Oryctolagus cuniculus: one gene and its partners. The protein of the gene in region 1 interacts with the protein of each later gene in a pairwise test. Links are inferred from orthologs where the notes say so. Each region holds a gene or a part of one and is shown on either strand. Other genes may lie near its edges. The genes, in order: KPNA3, ERCC3, TSSC4 and MAT2B.

Evidence for each region.
Region 2: the proteins of KPNA3 (region 1) and ERCC3 interact in binary tests that used the Homo sapiens proteins (3 or more experiments, as listed by UniProt). The link is inferred for Oryctolagus cuniculus from reciprocal best matches to the Homo sapiens genes KPNA3 and ERCC3.
Region 3: the proteins of KPNA3 (region 1) and TSSC4 interact in binary tests that used the Homo sapiens proteins (3 or more experiments, as listed by UniProt). The two-hybrid records come from large-scale screens. The link is inferred for Oryctolagus cuniculus from reciprocal best matches to the Homo sapiens genes KPNA3 and TSSC4.
Region 4: the proteins of KPNA3 (region 1) and MAT2B interact in binary tests that used the Homo sapiens proteins (3 or more experiments, as listed by UniProt). The two-hybrid records come from large-scale screens. The link is inferred for Oryctolagus cuniculus from reciprocal best matches to the Homo sapiens genes KPNA3 and MAT2B.

What each region holds. Positions count from the first base shown.
Region 1 is NC_091440.1:69,007,184-69,009,840, forward strand, and holds part of KPNA3 (importin subunit alpha-4), read right to left. Parts: intron 1,631-2,657; coding exon 1,536-1,630; intron 516-1,535; coding exon 417-515; 3' UTR 1-416. UniProt on the Homo sapiens protein: Functions in nuclear protein import as an adapter protein for nuclear receptor KPNB1. Binds specifically and directly to substrates containing either a simple or bipartite NLS motif.
Region 2 is NC_091434.1:122,308,138-122,311,666, forward strand, and holds part of ERCC3 (general transcription and DNA repair factor IIH helicase/translocase subunit XPB), read left to right. Parts: intron 1-2,891; coding exon 2,892-3,010; intron 3,011-3,529. UniProt on the Homo sapiens protein: ATP-dependent 3'-5' DNA helicase/translocase. Binds dsDNA rather than ssDNA, unzipping it in a translocase rather than classical helicase activity. Component of the general transcription and DNA repair factor IIH (TFIIH) core complex.
Region 3 is NC_091432.1:1,159,006-1,163,051, forward strand, and holds TSSC4 (U5 small nuclear ribonucleoprotein TSSC4), read right to left. Parts: upstream 2,554-4,046; 5' UTR 2,468-2,553; coding exon 2,422-2,467; exon of another isoform or gene 1,581-2,421; coding exon 1,501-1,580; exon of another isoform or gene 1,410-1,500; coding exon 579-1,409; 3' UTR 512-578; downstream 1-511. Other genes in the region: CD81 antigen, read right to left, coding at 3,701-3,763, 3,840-3,926. UniProt on the Homo sapiens protein: Protein associated with the U5 snRNP, during its maturation and its post-splicing recycling and which is required for spliceosomal tri-snRNP complex assembly in the nucleus.
Region 4 is NC_091437.1:50,261,371-50,265,732, forward strand, and holds the start of MAT2B (methionine adenosyltransferase 2 subunit beta), read left to right. Parts: upstream 1-1,514; 5' UTR 1,515-1,688; coding exon 1,689-1,751; intron 1,752-4,362.

The DNA of each region.
Region 1 (2,657 bases):
CACCTCTTTAGTCTTCCAACGTGTATTATGCATCATACCAAAGTGTCTTGATCCACAGCGCACCATTTTCCAAAGGAGTATCAGTGGGCAGCTGACATGCCACCACTATGGAATATTCTAAACTGGAGACTGCAGTTGTCAGCATGTGGCACCAGGGAACAAGGAAAAATAGGGTAGTTGAGATTGTTAAGGAGAATTCTAAAACAGTTTAGGAAATCATGCATATGCATTTACAGTCCATGTGAGAGTGACTTTTGGCAACTGCAAAGTGACTGAGACATGGCTTGCTTTAGAAGCATCAAAAGAAGAGGCATGTTGTGTTTTTGGAGCCTTTTGCTGCTGTTGTTCTTATCGTTTGGTAGCCATCTGGTGGTGCTTCGTATTGGATGTGGGAAAGATGCTGCACTCAAACGAACTTAAAAATTAAATTCTTTTGTTTGAAGGTTGGCTGTTGGGTCAAAATTGTAAGTACCTCCTTGTGTTGCTTCAGGAATGAGGCTAGGATCTTCATCAATCTATAAAAAGCAAGAACAAATGCCCTTATTATGTTATGATACCAAACCATTATTGTATAAACCGAACTGAGTTTTTACCCCCTAGGAATGAATTTTCTAAGAATGCTTTAACCACATGAACATACTTGGGTAAACCAGTAATAATTCTGTTAAGAAACATAACAACTCAAAAGTGAACACACATTTAAAAACTGCCTCTTTCTTCAGTTCTTGTATCTCTGTAGATTTATTTAACCAATTTATACATTATTTGTATAATCTCTATTTATTCCCAGTTAATAGACTCTAAATGCAACAAGAATTGCTTCTTTTTAAAATTTATTTATAAAGGGAACAGATTTCATATATGCGGCTTAAGAATGTAATGATACTTCCCACTCTCCTTCCTTTCTTATTTTCCTTTTAATTTTTGTGAGATATACTTTCAATTTACTTTATAATCACAAGCTTAATCCTCCACTAAATAAAGAATTCAAAAAGTAGTAAGTAGAAAAACCCCTGAAGAACTTTCTATAATTTTATCTTTTTTTTTTTGACAGGCAGAGTGGGCAGTGAGACAGAGAGAAAGGTCTTCCTTTACCGTTGGTTCACCCTCCAATGGCCGCTGCGGCTGGTGCACCGCACTGATCCGGAGCCAGGAGCCAGGTGCCAGGTGCTTCTCCTGGTCTCCCATGCAGGTGCAGGGCCCAAGGACTTGAGCCATCCTCCACTGCCCTCCCCAGCCACAGCAGAGAGCTGGACTGGAAGAGGGGCAGCCGAGACAGAATCCAGCGCCCCGACCGGGACTAGAACCTGGTGTGCCGGTGGCGCCAGCCTATAATTTTATCTTAAAATGAACTTTCAAAGTACTTAAAAGAAGTTACTGGTTGGAGTATTTAATAGTATATAGTATAAATGTAAGTCATAAGTATATATACATAGAATATAAATTTAAGAAAACTTACGTTTCCTTAAATAAAAAGAAAACTAAATTCACAGAGGTTCAAATTTATATGCAGACATATTTTAATATATACTTACATCATCACCAGAGAAATACTGATCTATGATTTCAAATGCTAATTTATAAATGTCTTCATTTTCATGTTGCTGCAAAACTTCAATTTTCTCCAAACCTTATAAAAATAATTAAAGAGACAATGATCAAAACTGTGCTCATTTTAATCATGGAAAATACTAAGGAATTCTGGACACCCCTATACCCCACAAAAGATGACAGTTTGTCATTAGAAAAACAAAACAGGTAAAAACCTGAGCTTCTCTGGTTGGGGACCAGTACGCCACTAATTCCTTCTTCCTTAGAAGCTCTTGAGTTACCCTGGTCCCTGAGGCAGGCAGTCTGAAAAACTCAAACCCTCCATTTGACAGATGAAAGTGTGGCACACAGATGTCAACAGACTTAGGTTATAGGGAAGATTAGTGACAGTAAGATCTGAAGTCTTTCCAGACTGCTATAATGTCATCATACTATGTCATAAAGTAATTTGGGTCTTCCTCTTTACTTTCTGAATGCTATTACTTAAAAAAAAAAAAATAAAAGCATTTTAGAAACTCAAAAACTGGTACAAAAAGAAGAAAAGAGTTTTAAATTTTAAAAACTTCTTTTTAAAAAAAGTAAATAGGGTTCTTATGACCTAGTTACAATAAAACTTGGGAAATAATTTTTAGACCAATAATGACAGAATGGTTTCATATATATTTCCAATACACTTAACTCCATGCATCAGAAGCTGAAGTTTATACATTTAAAACTTTAGCAGTATTCTTCCTTGAACTGTCTTTTTTACTAGGTTATAGCTGTATTTTCCCCATTTACATAGTATTATACAAACCAGAAAAAAGGGAAAATATTTGTCAAAGATAATGGATGTAAAGTATATCATAAAATCCTAAATAAATGTATCCTAATTATTATTCTCACAGAAAGAAGCAACATCATAAAACAGTAACAAACAGTGAATTAATATGTAAGAAGAAATGGATTTCAACTTTGCTTCTATTAACTATACATTTCTGTCACCTTGGACAAGACTTAACATTCTTGGAATAATTTCTTCCTGCTCTAAAGAGCACTATCTGTACTAAATATTCCAGGATGCAATTGTTTTCTGTTCAAAAATGGATAGAATATTCCTACAAAGC
Region 2 (3,529 bases), on another chromosome or scaffold:
CTGGCAAGCAACCAAGTACAGTGGCACTGTTGCAAAGGTTTTGACTGGGGAGGGGCAGGCTTCCTGCACTCAGTAACTATAGTAACAGTGCCCAGACTGCCGTGGGGAGGCGCTTCAGAGACTGACTGCTGCCAGGAGATGGCCCCATCTCTCCTGCTGGGACCAAAGAGCCAGGCTTATCTGAAGAGGCATCTGGACTATTGGGATGTTTGAAAACAGGAAGGTTAGTGGGTATATCTTGAATCTGTACCTTACTCAGATGTTTCTAGGAGACAGCTCCAGGATTATACCTGAAATGGAAACAGGGCTAAAAGTGGAAATAGCATGGATTTGGGTACCAGATCTGCTTTGTGACCTTGGGCAAGTCATTTCCTCTGAGCCTTGGTTTTTCACATCAGAGTAGGGGTAACCATCTTACCTTGCAGGATTGATGGGAGGGTGAGCTTACATAGCATGGGCTACAGCTGGCTGCCCAGTGCACAGTTGTTTATAAACTGTCAGGATGTCACTGCTGACAGGTGTGCAGCCAATTCATTGCTTGCTCCTTAATCTTCTTAAAACAGAAGCAAATCTGATTTGAAAGCTCCTTTGAATTTGATTAGAATTACATTTTCTTACTCCAAGTATCCTTTTTTTTTCCTAAAGATTTATTTATTTGAGAGGTAGTTGAGTAAAATAGTATAAGAGAGACAGAAAGAGGTCTCCCATGTGCTGGTTCACTTCCCAGTGGCCACAAGGCCAGAGCTGTGCCAATCCGAAGCCAGAAGCCTCTCCCACGTCTCCCAGTGGATGCGGGGGCCCAAGCACCTGGGCCATCTTCCACTGCTTTCCCAAGCCATCAGCAGGAAGCTGGATTGGAAGAGGAGCATCAGGGACGTGAACTGCACACACATGGAATGCCAGCACCACAGGCGGAGGCTTAGCCTACCACGTCAGAGCGCTGGCCCCTCAACACAGTATCTCCTGAGATCAGACATCCGGTCCCTCTATTTGCCACTGTGAGCTGTAGGAAGCAGTTGATACAGCAGCAATGTACGCATGCTCTATCTGATGACATTTGAACCGTGAAAGTAAAAGTGTTCAGATTTTCCTGAAAGACAGGTATATTCTGTCCTAGTTTCTGTGATAAGTGTCCCTGTTACAGAGGCTTTCCTCTCTGAGCTGTTTTTTTCCCCAGCAGTTTTGTTGAGATAAAATTCAGAGATTATACAATTGCTTCATTTTGAGTATACGGTTCAGTGGTTTTCAGTGTATTTTGAAAGTGTAACCATTACCCCAATCTTTAGGATATTTTCCTCACCCCCTGAAAGGAATCCTGCTATTCAGTAGTCATTCCTTGTTTCCCATTCCTCTGCACCCCCAGGCCCAGGGACCTGCCCACCTGTCTTCATGGCTGTCTGGACAGTTTGGAAGTAGAGGCGTACAGATTGGGGCCCCTGTGACTTGCTGCTTTTGCTCAGCGTAATGGACTACCCATATTGTGCCAGTATCTCATTCTTTGTTTTTTGCTTATTTGAGAGAAAGAGCACCCTCCTGTCCACTGGTTCACTCCCCAAATGCCTGCAAAGGCTGGAGCTGGGCCAGGGCTGGAACCAGAAGCTGGGAACACAGTTTCGGTCTCCCACATGTATGGCAGGAACCCAGGTACTTGATTGCTGACTGCTGCCTCTCAGAGTCTGCATCAGCAGGAAATTGAAGGGAGGAGTCAGAGCTGGGCCTGGAACCCAGATAGTCTGGTATGGGACACAGTGTCTTAGCTGGCAGACTAAATGCCTGTCCCCCCCCCCCCCCCCTTTATTTTTTTTTGGACAGGCAGAGTGGACAGTGGGAGAGAGAGACAGAGAGAAAGGTCTTCCTTTGCCGCTGGTTCACCCTCCACTGGCCGCCGCGGCCGGCACGCTATGGCCAGCGCACCGCGCTGATCCGATGGCAGGAGCCAGGTGCCTATCCTGGTCTCCCATGGGGTGCAGGGCCCAAGCACCTGGGCCATCCTCCACTGCACTCCCTGGCCACAGCAGAGAGCTGGCCTGGAAGAGGGGCAACCGGGACAGAATCCAGCGCCCCGACCGGGACTAGAACCCGGTGTGCCGGCGCCGCAAGGCGGAGGATTAGCCTAGTGAGCCGCGGCGCCCGCCTCCCCTATAATTTTTATTGCCACATAATATTCTGTGTGGACATACCACATTTTATCCATTCATCTTGACTTTTAGGCCATTTCTACTCTTTGATTTTAGAATAATGCAAATCTCTGTGGATAGATCTTTAGTTTTCTTGGTCTTGCTTATATGAGTGTGCCTAGGAGAGAAGTTGCCTGGTCATGTGCTGGTAACTGTGTTAACTCAGCGTTTTGGTGAACTGCCAGGCTGTTTTCCAGAGCAACTGCCACATTTTACATTCTCACCAGAAGTAGATGACGGTTCCAGTCTCATGCTTGACCACAGGAATATGTCTTGCTTTTTACCTCTACTGTGGAAGTGGGAGTAGATGACAGGCCACATGTGTTTGCTTGCCTCTCCCTGATGATCTGTGGTGCTGATGTCTTTCCCGTGCCATTGGCCATTTGCACACTGTCACTGGAGAAATGTCTTTACATGCTTTGCCCGCGTTAGAGTTGAGTGAGTGGTCTTGTTGAGTTTTCACAATTCTTGACGTAGTCTAGAACAAGTACAGGCAGGTCCCGTACCGGATGTGTACTTTGCAGGTTGTCTTTTCTCCATCTTCATGGTGTCCTTAGCATGAGAGGCTGCCATTGTGATGGAGTCGTGTGCAGGGTCGAGGTGACCGTGGCTGCCTGCCGAGCTTCCCACGCCAGTGCTGCCCAAGAGCCTCTGTGCTGCGGCCTTCTAGTGGCTCCTGTTGTTTTCCTGACTTCTCTCACCTTCTCCCCACAGGCATGGTCGCAGAGGAGTACAATGCCTTCTTCTACTCGCTGGTGTCCCAGGACACACAGGAAATGGCTTACTCTACCAAACGCCAGAGGTTCTTGGTAGATCAGGGTTATAGCTTCAAGGTTGGTATCTGTGTGGCCTCTGCTGAAACCAGGACCAAGGCCTTTTGGGTACCCCGGCCTGCAGGAGAAGTGGGGACTGTCAGCAGCAGTCTGGGACAGCCCACAGGCAGGTGGTGGGCACTGGGATCAGAGGCCTTGCTGCAGACTCTCTTGGAGTGTGCATGAGTTACTGGGGCAGTGTCAGCTGGCACTGAGTCTGAGCGTCTTGGGGTCACTTTCTCAGGGGGTGCCCCTCCACATGGCTGGAAGAGCTCTCCCTTTAATCAGCTGTTACACCCTGCGACTCCAGGCCTCAGGGCCCTCTTACTGCGAATCAGCCAGTGAGTAGTGGGGAATTTTAAAGCTTTCACCAACTCTCATTGGCTGAGGCATTTGGTTTCCTTCCTGTTAACACATATACTGAGTTTATGGCAGGATTTAGTGTCCCAGAGGCCTTTATTTGTGACATGGATGAAGAGTCCTGGAAAGGAAGGAAAGAGCCTTTGTGGTTCACTGGAGAACTCTCTGGAACACACAAGG
Region 3 (4,046 bases), on another chromosome or scaffold:
CCTCCCCCAGCAGACCTGGGGAACCCACCCTTTGTCCCCCATGGCCCATGCTGGGCTGGAGTCCTGGCACAAGACCCCAGATGCCGGCTCTGCACCCCGTCCTGACAGTCTGGGTGGGGCACAGCCAGAGGCGAGCGTGGGCACGGCTACAGGACCACTCAGGCCTGTCCGGCACCATGCTGGACTCCTGTGGCCTGACCCCAGCCCAGGGGGACCCCTCAGCCCCTCCAGGCCGGCACTGTGCGCAGCAGGTAAAGCCGCCTCCTGTATGTGTGGTTCCAGTCCCGGCTGCTCCACTCTGACCCAACTCCCTGCCGCTGCAGCTGGGAGAGCAGCAGACGGCCCCTGTGCCACTGCGGCTCTCTGGGGAGTGGACCAGTGCACGCAAGACCTCTCTATCTTTCAAAATTAAAAGCAAACAAAAACCCAGAGAAGCGGAACACTGGGGCCGTCACTCTGCAGGGTCCGAGCGGGGCTGGGGGCCCAGGGGGAGTGAGACGACAGACAGGACCCGAGGACACCCAACACCTTTATTGTCACCCATGGAGCCCCGGGCCCCCGGCCGCGGCCCGGCCCGCTCACCCCTCAGCCGCTGGGCCCTCGCAGCCGCTGCCCCTGTTCCGGAAGTGCTCCCGGCTCCGCTTCCTGGCGCCGTGGAAGCCGACGGCGTCCAGGCCGGGGGGCCCTGGCGAGGCCCCTCTGTGGGCAGCCGCGGGGGACGCGTCTTCCTCCTGCAGGCCGCCGGGGGTGCCGCCCCTCTCCTCGGCCTCTGGGCTCCCGGGCCCGGCCAGGTGGGGCAGCTCCACCGCCTCGGTCCCCGGGAGGCCCCTGCCCGGCTGCGCGCCCTGCCCCAGGCCCCTCTTCCTCTCGGGCCTGGGCTCGCGGGCTCGGGCCGGTCTGGTGAAGACCACCCTGCCCTCCCCGCAGCTGGAGGAGTCCTGGTTGAAGGCGGGCGCGCAGGCGGCGGGGGCGGCCGGGCCCCGCGCGCCCAGGAAGGCCAGCGCCGCCGCCCGGTTGCTCTGCTCGCTGGCCTCGGCCACGTCCTCGAGGCTGTACCTGGTCCAGCGCTCCGGGTGCGCCACGTAGTCGGGGACACGCGGGCCCCTGGGGGCGCCGGCCGCCCCCTCCAGGCCGTCAAAGACGCTGTGGCTGCGCCGGGAGAAGGCGGAGCTCGTGCCCCGGAGGCAGAACGGCTGGGCCGCAGGGGCGGGGGGCGCCGGGGGCGGCGAGGGGGGCTCGGAGTCCTCTGAGTCCGCGGGCAGGTCTACACACGGCGCGGCCGCCTCGGCACCGCCAGAGCTGAGGTCCGAGTCCGAGTCCGAGCCCGAGTCGCTGGGGAAGTCGGCGTCGTCGGGGGGCGCGGCGTCCCCCTCGGCCCCCGCCTGGGCCATGGCCCCGTCCCACGGCACCTGCGGGGAAGCAGCCCGCGGGGAGGGGGCAGCTCAGGGTCGCCGGCCCACGCGGCCGCAGCAGCGGGCCCCTCCCCGGCCCGGCTCTCACCTCCCCCGTCCGCCCACGGAGGTCCTCGGTGGCCCCGGCGTGGGCTCCTCGGTGGCCTCGGCTCCGCTGCTCAGACGGGGCTGGGTGAGGGGCGGGGGACAGAGCCCGCGTCAGAGCGCGGGGCCGGCCGCAAGCTGCCTGGGACGAGGCGGAGCCCAGGGCTGGGCCCCAGGGCCCGGGCCGCGGCCACCCCGGCGGGGTCGGGCTCGCGAGCGCGCTCAAGGGTCAGCTCGAGCGGCCTTGCTGGGCAGAGGCCGCCCCCGCGGCCCCGGACACGACCCCCACCCGCGCTCCCGAGGGGCTGGCTGCAGGACAGCCCGGGCGCACCCTCCACACGGCGCTCCCCGCCTCGGGCCGACCCAGGCGCGGCGCAGCACCTCCTCCCGCGGAGCAGCCGCAGGAGGAGCGCTGGGCCCAGCAGGGACCGCGGCGAGCGCGCCCTGGGCTGGGGAGGCCGGGATCCCGCGACCGGGCCGAGGGGCAGCGGCTCTAGCTGCCTCCGGCCGCCTCTGCCGCGGAGCAGAGCACACCTTCGCCGTGTCAGGGCGGCCGCGCAGAGGGCCCTCCCGGACTTACCGGCTCCTCGTGCCGGCCGCCTTCATTCGGGTTCCCCGCCGGCCGCGCTCAGCCTTTTGGGAAACCGAGTCCCCCGCTAGCCGCGCACTGTGGCCTCCGCGACCGAAGAACTACATCTCCCATAAGCCACCGGGCCTCAGCTCCCGAGCCCTGACGGGACGTGTGCCCCAGTGCGCATGCGCCCACGCCCTTCTCCTTACACCTCCAAGCCCTGCGCCAGGAGCGGGTTCCGGAAACGGAAAAGGCCTAGCGTTGACACGGAGGAAGGGGCGGAGCCAACCGCCACTCCCAGAATGCTCGACTAACGGCGAGGCGCAGGCCTCTCGGAGTTTTAGTGCCACCTACCGGGAGGTGCGGAGACAGCAGCCGACGTAGACAGGAAGTGCGTCATCGCGCACGGTGGAGCAGAAGCCCTTGCCCGCACTTCCGGCCTTCCGAAAGCGGAAGTCGCTGCCCCTTCCCGGGTCCATCCGTCAATGCCCGGGGCGGGCCTGGCAGCCACTGAGCTTGTGGGCTGCGCTGGACGTCGGGAGCCTCTGACGATGTTTCTCCGGTTCCCCGGCCCTCAGGGACAGGCGCGCGGAGCGCTGCCCAGCGGCCCAGGCAGCCGGGGCTGGGCGTGGCCATCCTGGGCAGGTCCGGCCCCGGGCTCTCCCAGACAGGCCTCTCGCTGGCCACCAGGCCCCAAGTGGGCAGCGCCTTTTGCCCCCGTTTCTGCTGGGGCTGCTCGGTGCCCGCCAGACCCCAGCTCCTGAGTCCCTCTCCTGCGGGGGCCTGCTGTCCTGGCACTCACGGGGAGACCGGCGTCTAAGGACCCCGGGGGGGCCAGCCGCGGACAGCAGGCGGGTCATGCACGGCCCAGGCACCTCTGGGACACCCACCCTGTCCTGGCAGCCCCGGGGCCCCAGGCCCTGCACGTCCAGAGGCCAGCCTGGGCCAGCACGGCCCGGGGGGAGTGGAGGGGACTCCTCGCTGCACCTAGTTCTCCCAGGCAACCCTGTCCCCCAGGGGCTGGGAGCAGCAGGAGCCCCCGCCCTCCGCAGGGCCAGCCTCAGTCCTCCCTGGCTGCTGTCCAGGCCGAGGCGGGGCCTTTGCTCTGGCTGCTCCGAGATGCTGCTGAGGCCCGGGGGGCCACCCACGTCTCAGCAGACCTGGGGCCTGCTGCCCGCAGGGAGCCCGGAGCCCGGCCGCCCCCTCCCGCAGCCCGGTGTGCCCCAGGGGCGGTCACCCGCGGAACGCTCCCTGGGTCCTGGTCCCGTCCGCTCCGCGCGGGCTCGGCACAGTCCAGACCCCTCTGTCCCCAGCGCCCCACCCACTGAGACCCCACCGGCCAGGACCGGCGGCCAGCGCGTTAGCATGCCCGATGTCTCCTCCTTTATTACAGACTGTGTCCAGCTGCGGGCGTTACAGTTGAAGGTGACGTTAGAAAGGACAGGTGCTCCCGGAACAGGCAGGAAAGCAACAGGATTAAGAAGGCCCGGCCCCCCTCGGCAGGTGCCCCTGGCACGCGGCGTCAGCCACAGGGGCTCCGGGGGAGACGCAGAGCCCGGAGAGCCGGCAGCTGCGTGCGGAGCGAGCGGGGTGGCTCTGTACAGGCGGCGGGGGCGGCGGGGGCAGCGCGGCCTCAGTACACGGAGCTGTTCCTGATGCCGCAGCACAGCACCATGCTCAGAATCATCTCGAAGATCTGGCGGGAGGGGGGCGGTCAGCGGGGGCCGGCGGGGCGGGGCGGCCCCCCCCCCCCCGCCCGCCTGCCCGCTCACCATGATCACGGCCACCACGATGGCCGCGATGCCGATGAGGTACAGCTTCCCCGAGAACAGCTCGTCAATCTTCTGGTGGCAGTCCTCCTGCGGGGAGGGCAACCTCAGCTCCCACCTGCCCTGGCGGCACCCCGGAGGGCCCAGCTAGGCGGCCTCTGCCCACGCGGGGGAGGCGACCTCAGCTCCCACCCGAGGGCCCAGCTAGGC
Region 4 (4,362 bases), on another chromosome or scaffold:
AAAATGATAATTGTATGTGCTTGTCCATAAATTCTCTTCATGTTGAGCACTTTTTATTTCTCTAGAAAGACTCTTTGCATTATACCTAGCAAATAGAAACTGAAAACAGAATTCCCGGTTTTTAAACAAGAAGGATTAAGAAGATCTTGGGTCCGGTTCCCCTTCCTCCTTTATCTTGCCCTTCTCTTTGTTGTCTGTTGATTATGCTACTTTAGTGCCCTGGGCTCTCTCAATGATTCCCTAAATAATGCTAAATCTTTGATCATCAAAGATCCAGCTTAAAAAAAACAATAGAAAAGGAGGCTCCTGTACTGTTTCAAAGAAAACTTTTTTGTTGATGTGAATAAGGAATTCTTAGTTGGGGGTTGGGTAGAAAGGAAAAGTCACGGGCTCTGGCGTAGTTAAATTTTTCCAAAGTCTCTACCATTTTTGGTTTATTAGACGGTGGTTATGAAAATAAGGCCTTCTTAGGAAAATCCTAGCGGCGATCACGTTTGTGGGCGACTTACAGATCTCATTATTCCGGGGCCCTAAACAAGAACAACGTAGCCCTTCCGTGGAAGCTCGGCCAATTCTAAGCCTAATGAGCTGAGGACTTTTTTCTGGGTAAATTTCAGAGGCATACCGGCGGGCGCGGGACATCTTGCTATTTTTGAATGACTGTAAGAGAGGTCACTTGGGTACTAGGCTGGTCACAGCACACAGGGCTATCGCTCCTTACTTTTAGAAGGCGATACAGGCAGCAGAACGCCCGGCATGTCATCCTACCCTTGGTTTTTCCTTTAACCGTGGGCGCTCGCCCAGGCTGCGCTCGCTTAGCCGCAGGCTGCAGCTGGAAGTCGGTGCGTCCCGCAGGGTGCTCTGGACTCCTGCTCGATCCACCGAAAAGGAGGTCCCTGGTTCTGCCACCAGTTTCTCATTCTAATTATGGGCAAAGTCCAAGAATGTTTGCTTTGAAGAGGTGCCCAGAGATTTCATATTTCTCTCCCCCTACACCTTTTTATTTTTAATTAGTTAAATATGGTGCCATAGTTTCGAAATTTCACACATACTTTTTTTGAAGCATCCCAGAAAGACGAATAAGTTGCTGAGGTGTGAGTGACTCAGATAACACTTTTATTTTTATTTTATTTATTTTATTTTTACCTCTTTCTAAAGCTTTCAACAGCCTACGGGTCTAACGATCCATTTTTATTGTGCTTCCTCCCTGCCCCCTCACCTCCCCTGACTTTAAAAATGCTTTATTCTACTTTAGTATAGTACACGTACAGTTGATTCTTATGCACTGCGTATTAGTCTGAAAAGTTAAGACTCTAGGTTATCCAATTCAATGTTTCCCCAGTTAAGAAGAAAAAACGAAACAGAAGAAAAAACGAAACAGAAGAAAAAGCACGTATACAAACAACATTTGCGTTCTTTGCTTAACTTCAGCGTCTTTGTTTTGTGTATCACTTTAAGACTTGGCGCGTGGGCTGGGGAGCGTCCCCTGAGCGCCCGCCCGCTTTCTGTGACGTATCCAGGGCGTGGCCAATCAAAGGGTGCAGCCAAGGCAGCGGAAGCCGGAAGTGGCGAGCTGGGGTCGGCTACGGCCTAGAAGAGGCGGGCCGAGGGCATCTAGTTGAGGCCCGCGGCAGTCCTGGGCTGTAGGAGGCGGCAGCCGCTCGGGCGGCGTTGTGAAGACGGCGGGTATGGTGGGGCGGGAGAAAGAACTTTCCATTCACTTTGTTCCTGGGAGCTGCCGGCTGGTGGAGGTGAGGGTTTGCCTTGGTGGTCTTCCATGGGAACCGGGGTAGGGGTTGGGAGCCCAGAGGAGACGAAACAGGTCCGGGAGGTTCGGGGCGGTTTTCCAGGCGCACCCCATCGGGATCAGCGCCCCGGCCGGGAGTCGTCTCGGCGTCGCCCTCGCAGCCCTGGAGTAGAGGGCGGCGCCACCGAGTTTGTTTACCTCGGCGCACAGCAGCGCTGCGGCTTTTGGGTCGAGGTTTTACTTTTGAGTTCTCAGTCTCTGCTCCCACCAACGAAGAAGGAGATTTTACAGTTGTTTGCGTTGTGGTTCTTCATTGTTAGTTCGTGATTTTACAAGTTCTAGCTTTGAGAAAGGACGAAGGAAGGTAGCTCTTTGGAGGTAACAGTGCTGGAAGTGATAACTTGCCGAAGTCCTGGTTTGTGCAGAGCTCTACGCTATGGATTTTGCAACCATTATTTTAATCTTCATAGCTGTAAGATACATTTTATAGGCGATAGAAGGGAGTCAGAATAAGACAATTGCCCGAGTTCATTCGGTGAGGTTGGAGCGAGGGATTCGTGGTCGACTGTCTTGGGCTTTGAACCACTAAAGCAGTAGCATTGAAGGGAGACTATCTGCGTGTTAGGGAGCTCCATCCATGAGGTCCTCCCCACATCCAGCACCTCCATTGCATTTCAGGCCTTCCAGCATCCAGAATATATCCAGCTGTGACCATAACTGCTAATGTCCAGACCTGTATGTCTTCTGGATATGAGATGGTTGTTTTAAACATGCACTTTTTTTTATGCTTTCAAAGTTTAATGAATTCAGTGTTTTTAAATCGTCTTGGTTCTTTAAGGTAGAGTTAGGATAGATGAGCTGTCTAACCTGTATTCCTGCGAGCCCCAAACAGTACCAGTTCATCTCTTACAGAGTGTTTACATATGTATGCGCATGCATGGCTCTCTGTGTGTTTGTGTGTGTAAAGCTTAATCTGCTTATACAATAGAAGTTCAGTAAAGGGAAAATGGCTTTTAATGGTTTCCTTCATTAAAAAGGATAGATCTAAGAGCTCAGACACATACTACGCTCTCAGAACCCGTAGTGTTAAAACTCATCTTGTAAGAATGAGGACTGCCCGAGGATTAATGTCAAGAGAAGCAGCTGGTGGAGGTGGCTGATAGGGTGACAGTAGAAGTTAGAACAATCCTGCCTAGGTATTAAGGAATCTTAAAGTTTATTAAAGGCCAGGTCTACCTCCTGGGAATCTTGTGAGAATCCACTTAAAAAATGACTATGAAACTTTGCCAAATTTATAAGTTTTTTAAAATATACTACTAAAATTAACATTCCTTTCCAAATATTACTGATAGTCCACTGTCTTTTAAAACATTTTTTGAAATCTTCTTTTTTAGTTTATTTTAATTAATTCATTTGGAAAGTTAGAGTTACTAAGAGGGGGAGACACAGAGATCTTCCAGCCACTGATTGACTCCTCAGATGGCCGCAATGGCCAATGCTGGGTCAGGCACTGGCCAGGCCGAAACCAGGAGTTTTGTTTTGGTCTCTCATGTGGGTAACAGAGGCCCAAACACTTGTACTGTCTTTTGCTGCTCTTCCAGAGCATTAGCAGGGAGCTGGGCCAGAAGTGGAGCATATTGGACAAGAACCAGCAACCATATAGGATGCCAGGTCTCAGGCAGGCAGCGCTATCTGTCATGCCACAGCACTGGCCTGGCTAGAACGTTTTTGATAGTTAATGAGCTAAAGTGGAAATCACTGTCCCAGAGCACTGTTGGACCATTTGGACAGCGTTTGTCTCCCATTATCTTTATGAGTACAATTTCATATAAATTTTTTAGCACAATATGAACAGTAGCTCTACATTGATTTGTCCAATAATTTTCAAGAAAATTTTGGTATCTAAAAATGTGATTGCCTAAAGTGGTTGAATTCCATACAACTAAGTTTATACAAAAAGAGACAGGTACATTTAGAGTACCTTAAACTTGTTGAGTATACTTAATATAACAGAAATTGAGAAAGAAGAATTTTCACACAAGCATTTTGAATTTTTTATTGTGGTTTGGATGACCTAGGCAACTTTTTATTCTTTCATTCTGAGTCTTTTGGAATGTTTGGATATTCCTGTGTTTTGAAGGACCAAAATAAATTCTAGGAATGATTAACCAAAGTAATTTTTAGAGGAAACTTTTTATTCCTAAGCTATTTATATACAAAACCCAACAAAACAGTGTACTAAAGAAAACTTTAGGCAGAGTTCTGTTTATATAGAAACAAAATTAGAGACATTTTTGTTTGGCATCTCTTAATTTCAGAGTGTTGCATATTCTATTTGGCAGCCACGATTAACTTAAGATCAAACTAAGAAATAAAAAACGTGTTTCTGCTGTTAAATAGATGGCAAAAGGTGCCCTTGTCTCTAGGGAGAAGTGTGAAAAGGACGAACAGTTAAGTTACTTAAGTAAGTGAAGCCCTTTTTATCCTATTCAGACCCTTTGTTGTAAGGATAATATAGAAAATTTTAGAATTGTAAAACTTTAAATATGGAAGAGTGTTGGTCATCTTGTCCATTTACCCACAAGGAATTAGATCAAAAAGGATGTAATTTCTCA